2 linked regions of the Coturnix japonica genome follow. The protein of the gene in region 2 binds, or shares a complex with, the protein of the main gene of each other region. Links are inferred from orthologs where the notes say so. Each region holds a gene or a part of one and is shown on either strand. Other genes may lie near its edges.

Region 1 (3,653 bases), on a different chromosome or scaffold from region 2:
TGTGACACTCATCAGCAAAGGAGAATATTTTCATGTCAGGATGGCCTTTCTAGCTGCTTATTCTTTAAAACATCACAAAACTAAACTCACGCTTCCACTCATCCAGGGGTAGATCCATGTTATCAAATGTGTCATCATATTTCTCAGCCTCAATTTCTTCCTCAGGATCATGAATTGCTTCAAAGTAAGGATGCATCAAAGCCTCAGCTGCCGTGACTCGCTCCTCCGCATCCAGCACCAGCATGTTCTCCAAAAGATTCACAGCTATGGGACAGAAAATGAACACTGCATTGAAATCAAGCGCCGATTTCAGCTTATACATAGTAATGCTGCATTGAAGATGCTTCAAAGATACCTACAGATTTACAAAGCAGAATCATTGGGTGCTCATTCTACAGCCAGTGAGGTCCAACTGCACAACAAAACAGAGTGCTGTGAACAAGCTGGGATGTGTACCAAGAAATGCAGAGATGCTCCTTAAATTCCACATGCAATACAGACACATCACCTCAGCTCTGACTTCTGAACTTCTGACTCCAGGTCCACTGCATGTAGGAACTCCCCAGATGTCTGCCCTCACTGCCAGCACTTTGTTGTGGTTATGAGGCACATCATTACTTGGCAGGGGCACTATGAGCAGATGGGTGTAGAGCTATCGAGAATTGTTTGTTATGTGACTAGATCCATGTCCTCAGCATTGGCAGCACATTTTCAAGTTCACCAAGACATCCATGCTCTAAATGTCAGCACTAACTTTATCTGCAACGTGTTTTGACCTCACCAAGACAATCCATGAAATCCATGAACATCTTCAGTGTTCCTCACGGGTGGATTTTGGATCGGGCCCTCTGTGAGACTATCAAAAGGCACTAGTATAAACTGACATGATTCTATTATGTTCATAAAAGTATCCTGTAAGAAAGTTTCTGAGTTGGGTGGAGCACCAGAAAGGAAGAAGGGACAGCAGCATGGGAAAAGATGCTACAACACCTGCTTGGCACATTATGGCTTCATAGCATCATAGAATCATTTCGATTGGAAAAGAACACTGAAATCTTTAAGTCCAACCACGCACCTAACAAGTCCTTCCAACCTTCTCTCCCAGACCAAGAGCAGTTGTTTTTCTTATAAGGAACAGCCAGATGGCCAAAGAAGTGACAGGAAGAAATAAAGTAGAGATGTGTAGAGTTTTCTGCAGCTGGGACAGCTAGTGAGTGAGCCATGCGGTCATGGTTAATAATCCTACTGTATCTTCATATGCCATTTTAACTGCTTAAATACAGAAGATTCAATTGTCCTAATTCATATTCTAAGAAAGCCTGGCTTTATGAGTCAGGTCATTGGGGAACGGATGAAGCTGGGCAGAGCCATCTCAGAGCACTTATTGCCTCAGGTCATGTCACAGTTATGCACACTTGGTATGTTCTTCTAGCTGTTTATATCCATCAAATACAAGCCAGATCTTTGCAGGAATGCACAGATGTTTCTCAGGACGCATTCATTCCATGTCTAAAATGTCAGCTTTCTATTTGTTTGCATTTCTGTTGTACATCAAAAGGACCTTTCAGAATTATATTTAAAATACAATGCACAGAAACCTTTATTAAATATATTTAAATCCCCAGGGCTCTTGAGAAAGCTGCTTCAGTAAAACCATTAAGCACGGTCTGGATCAGAGCCTAAAGCATAAAATACTTCTTTTTGACTCTTTTGAATCATCTGATTCCTGGCAGTGTCTAAACTTGGCACAGTTCGGCCACTAGAATCAAAGTTCTGAGTTATGGAAAGCAAGAGGCAGAGCAGCATGGGAATCATCACATAACTTATCACATGCTGACACTGCTGCTGCCTCCAGTGCAAACAAAACAACAACGGACTGTACACATTGACACAAACTGCCTTACCCAAAGGACTCGCATGCTTCAAGACGGATGCAAAATCCTTTTTCTGGACTTTTGGAAGGCTTTTGATGTAGTTTTTTGCCTTGAAAGAAACATGAGTATTAAATCAGAACTTTTCCTCCTTTACTAGGTACCTTACTGGTGCTTTGACAGTACCTTGCACAAAAGGATATTTTTTTTTGTTCTAAGGCCTGGTTATGTTCATCTTCTTGTTGAAAGGAACAGTTTCTTTTAAACCAAACCTCACAATTCTGATTAAGAAATTAAACATAAAGCTCTGATACCTAATCAACATCTAATATGCTGATTAGAATAAGTATGTATTCATCGTTTGAAAGAATGCCATACTGAAATTTACAGAAGCCTCTAAAAGTGTATGTTTCACAGTAATTCTGTAGTATTCAATCTGCACAGTTCATCTAATGGTTTATTTTAGGTTCTTTATAGCAGGGACTTCAGGATTCTCAAAAACATCACAAGAAAATAGGAAAGAGGAAGTCAGAGACACCCACAGAATGGATGGGCTCTCTGAAGAGGTTCATATTGTCAGTACACTTCCAGCAAAGGAAGTAATGTATCAGCTCAGCTGATTTAAAGTACTTAAATATATTGGTTTTTTTCAGTGTCCTAATCATTTTGTTTCCTCTTAATGTCCAGTAATTATTCTGGCTGTGAAACCTCCAAAGTAGGCAGAGAATCCTCCATGTGGCGCAAGTGGTAGAAGTGCCGCTCTGCTACACAGGAGGCTCGAATCCCAGGGGTTGGACTCGATGACCTCTAAGGTCCCTTCCAACTCGCACAAGACTGTGATACTGTGATACTGTGATAGATGTGCTATCAGGGGTCATTTCAGCAGCCAACACACACAATCTCAGGCAGTCTAAGAATTGAGAATGGCCCAGCGCACACAACACAGTCTGACAAAGCAGAACACTCACCTCCTGACTCTTCAGTTTTTGCACAAAATCTTGACTTGGAGTACCCGTTACTTTCATGATTTCTGTGAGCTGGTCCAGATCTGAATGCCAGAAATAAGGAACAAAGACTCTCACCATAGGATAAAAATTACGTGTTTCTTTGCTGCTGGAGAATAAAGCAAAACCAACAATGCAACAGCTGAACAGGAGGCATGTAAAAGATGAGCTGTCAGACATACAGAACTCGTAAACAGGACAAGTGATGAATTCTTGCTGTATTCTTTAGCACTACACTCCGCTGTCTGTCACAAGCGTTCGGGCCAACAAAGTATCACCTAAGGTTGAAGTATGGCCAAATCTTAACTATTTTCTTAAATTGTCAGCAATGAAATGACATGACTAAATATTTTCTGCACATCTAAAATATTCTACTATGTATTATTTACATGGTATTTTGGACAAAAGCCTCAAAAAGCTTGAAATGGACTAGCACATGCTCATAAGTTCATACACTACACCAGAACTTTCTGTGCTGAAGTTGTGGAACCTATTGCTACAACAAATGCATATGTATATATATTAATATTTACCTTTTGTATTGTCAGTGAAACTTTTAGCTGATGATTTGAGGCATCATTCAATGGATATCCCAATCCCACTCTCTATTGAGAAAGTTCAGTAATATGAGTTTTAATTCGCTGATGTACAGATGTGGTACAAGTATCAAATAACTAATTAAATACAAAGATGATAGCCTTACCTAAGCTATATGTTTCAATTTACGCTCATCAGATTTTCAGCACACTTACTGCATCACATAAGCACCTCTCATCAT
Region 2 (3,753 bases):
TGTTGTAAGCATCACAGCATGTTTTGGAAGACAAAAAAAGCTCACCATAAAACGTCTTATTTTTCCCCTGAAAATCATTTATAGAGATAAATGACAATAAACAGGACACACATATGGAAATACGTTGTCATGGACAGCTAGGCACTTCAGGTATGAAGTTTCGAGTGTCTTGTTAAATTCACATAGCAACAGATACATAGCCAATGACTCACAAAGACATCCCTTGCCCATTTTGATACAGCAGGAAGGATTTCTTAAAAGGCTTGGTTTTGTCTTTAAGCTAAGATCTGCAATGGTTCAACTTTTCAGACCAGTTCACAAAAGCACAGAGTTTTGAGCTCAAATGCATCGCCTACTGGGGTAGATTGACCCTTCATGACCAGAACTGAGATATTCAGTGCTCAGTGGTGTTTGGTTAATGTGTCAGGAAGATGTACTACCTGTTCCTGGCAAGTGCTTAATGCTCTAAATGCCAAGGCTGATTCTTTACGTGGCCCTTTCTTCAGCCCATGGAGCAACTCCAGTGGCTTCAGGGGGCGACCAGTCCTGACTCATGCCACCAGAAGATGTAATTAGAGAGCCCAGCTTGTGCATCCTGCGGTATCACCTGGCTTCCTTCCTCTTATGGATTTACTTTCTTTGTGTTTCTTATGATTTTTCTGTGCATATTTTTCAGACTCTACAGTGCTGCATGCGTTGCAGCTGACACATTTCTGCATTACTGGGAGCCAAGCTTGACTGGGAAATCCTTCTCTCTTACACATGCAAAAACAATGACACGCAGTGTGAAGTTGTATATAATATACAAAACTGTGCAATTTGAACTCCATTCACCCTCTGTCTTTCATAGATGGCAACTGGATGATTTTAACCCAGAATGGCTCATCTGCTTTTTAAAAAGGAAAAGAAAGGAGAAAAAAGAAAGGAAGTGAAAAGCATTCACTCAGGTTGTTTATGTTACAGCAAAGCTAAAAATAAATTACTGATAGCCTGCATATGTAAAGGTTTATGAAAACCTCTAATAGCAACTAGTCAGCAGCAAAGGAAGCACTTGGTTTTCCATAGCAAAGCAACCACAACTCTGGTTCCCCTTAAGGCTGGCTGGCTACAAGCGGGCTGGCTCCTAACTCAGATCAGCAGGAAGAATTTAATTCTCTGTCGTCTTCTGCATTTGGGGCTTTGTGAGAGAAGTCATCTCTCCACAGGTAAACTGCATCTTTGCTGGCATCCCAGCCCTCCCTGCTCTTAGCCAGCACCAAGCTCTGCACAGAGGCACACATCCAGAACAAAGCCAATCCTTCCATGTGGAGTAAGCTTTAAATAACATCCTCTTCGTGTTGCCAAAACAAGCCAACCCATTCAAAAAGTGAAGTATCTGGAGTTCAAAGAGAGAAGGTTTTCTTAGCGCTGAACTTTGCTCAGGCGGCACACTGGAGTGGCTTCGGGACATACCAGTTCCGTTCTTGCCTCTGCTGAGCGTTTTGTTCAGACAAGTCCAGGCCAGGCGCAGTGCCTTGCTCCTGCAGCCAGCTGCCTCCCTCCCTGCCTGACACGCTCTTCTTGGGCACCTTGGGAGCTGAACTCCGAGTTTTTCAGAATACTTTTTAGATACTCCAAATCTTGTTATAACCAAACACGTGCAAAGATTTTTGTTATTCTTTCCAGACTGTAATATGGTCTCTAGTAAGATAAATAATATTTATGTTAAACCTTCCTTTGGGGAGAGAGGGATTGATTTGGGAATCTTTGAACTGTGCTGTAAATCTCAGCTGACATTTGCATAAAGTTCTGGACAGTTTGTACAGTCAAACAACAACCACCTCCATTTTTGTCTTTCACCATACTATAACTTCCCAGAAAAAGATTTTGCAGTCCCCCAAGCTGCCGTCTGAGTTACTCAGAGCACACTGTTCACATTCTCCACCACACCTGCAGTGCCACATCGTAGTACCTCACAAATACAAGCACAAAGCCAAACATTAAAGCAAGTTTCCTCAAGACGCTTTTATATCAAAGTTCTTCATACAAGCATCCTTTCTTTTGCTTGTAAAGGCACTAATCATATTTCAATTGCATCCCTACAATATAAATTTAATAGCTTCCTTATTTCCTCACTTTAGCATTTCCCCTGTACTCCCTCTGCCTTTTCAATTATAATAGCTAGATCGTTTCTTTCATTTCCTTTCTCCTGTGTCCTGCTTTCATTTCTCATACAAAATCACATTTGGTCACTTACACTTTTCTTGAGGATAAGCACACGACAGCAGGATCTCTTGCTCCACCATGGTGCCGCCTGCCAGAGAGTTCAGGGGTCTTCTGAATAGCGTTTCAAGAAAATATTTTGGAAAGCTCAGCTCGCTCATGCGAGCTTCTGATCTTCTCCAGCCCTCTTGGCTTCTGTGTGCTGTCACATGTTATCCTTCCTCCTGACAAACCTGTGCAGCAGGTCTGGCAACACGCATCTTGTGTGTCAGAAGAGCTTTAATTGATTCACTGCAACAGGTACCCACCTTCATTAAAAGAACTTTTTTTGAAAGGAGTAGTCTCTTAGCGCCTCATTTGAAATTACAGAACCTGCAAAATGTCACAGCTGCTGCACTTTAAAGGGAAGCTGCTTGAGAACGTGCAGGAAGTAATTTAGAATCAGTCTTACATGCCAAATAAACCACAGCTAGCGGTATAAGTTGGGTGCTTCTGCACCGTGGGAGAGCAGCAAGCCTTTTGCTATGCACACAGGTGGCATGGTCTGCTTCTGCATCTCACAGGGCATAGATTCTTGTGGGATAAAACAACCCCATATCTCTGCCATAGAGACCTCTGCCCCCATGAATAATAGCGCTGATTGCTACTGATGCAAACCATGTGGCCGTGATTTCTTAGATACACAGACTGGAGAATGCAAGGTTACTGGTGCTGCCTGCAGAGAAGCTAAGTCCATGTAGCAACCACAAAAATCTCTGCCTTAGCACAACCCCTATATAGGTCTCAGCAAAGAGCCCCCAGCATGGCCCTGAAAGCTCCATGCAGTTTAATTACCAGTTCTCTGCTGACCTCATGCCAAGAGTGGCCCCTCATTATGACTTGCACCAGTTCCACATTAGGGCACATCAAAAAGTATCCCCATAGCCATTTCCTACTGCAGTTGCACCCCCAAGCATTGTTGAGTGCAAGTGAGGCTGTGGCTAGGAAAGAGCCAAAAAGCAGTAGACGTGGGATTTACACCTGACTCTGCCTCTAATTTGCCCTGTCACATTGGGCAAATTGCTTTAGCTCTCTGTTGTTTCCCCATCTCTACCACAGATAATTACAGCTCCCTTTCTTTAGAAAGTGCTTTGAAATCTATGCACAAAACACACATGAAAGAGGAAGTTATCATTATTGCACACTTGTAAAATATTGGGATGAGGCAGACAATGAGCAGTGAGCATTTCAGATTGCATGCATGCCAAGTGTCGTGTTATACAAGGAGTGTGACCTTATTGTCATAACCTGATTATTTATGCTGTAAAAAAATAAATAAATAAAATAATTCTATAAAATTCAGTACAAGTCCAGTTTCTGTTTTGCTGAGAGAAAAAATCTAAACCAATTCTCACTTATAAGAACTTTACATCCTCCCGGAAATGGCAGGTCCACAAGAGGTTCCTTAGTGGAGAATGATGTAGTATGGCAGTTTCCTGCTTCTCTCTCACCTGGGTAAATAACATTTCTCATTTTGCAGCCAGTGAGTGTTTACATTAGACTCAGAAGATC

The links.
Region 1: the proteins of PTPN3 (region 2) and mitogen-activated protein kinase 12-like are in contact, whole or in part, in a crystal structure (PDB 4QUM), measured with the Homo sapiens proteins. The link is inferred for Coturnix japonica from reciprocal best matches to the Homo sapiens genes PTPN3 and MAPK12. Residues at the interface, in NP_002820.3 of Homo sapiens: Arg655, Leu671, Asn674, Arg675, Tyr676, Lys677, Asp678, Val679, Arg751, His812, Ser843, Ala844, Gly845, Ile846, Gly847, Arg848, Met883, Gln886, Thr887; in NP_002960.2 of Homo sapiens: Met182, Thr183, Gly184, Tyr185, Val186, Val187, Arg189.

What each region holds. Positions count from the first base shown.
Region 1 is NC_029516.1:18,175,088-18,178,740, forward strand, and holds part of mitogen-activated protein kinase 12-like, read right to left. Parts: intron 2,920-3,653; coding exon 2,840-2,919; intron 1,984-2,839; coding exon 1,905-1,983; intron 265-1,904; coding exon 91-264; intron 1-90. UniProt on the Homo sapiens protein: Serine/threonine kinase which acts as an essential component of the MAP kinase signal transduction pathway.
Region 2 is NC_029517.1:46,309,651-46,313,403, reverse strand, and holds the start of PTPN3 (tyrosine-protein phosphatase non-receptor type 3), read right to left. Parts: upstream 2,394-3,753; 5' UTR 2,364-2,393; coding exon 2,237-2,363; intron 1-2,236.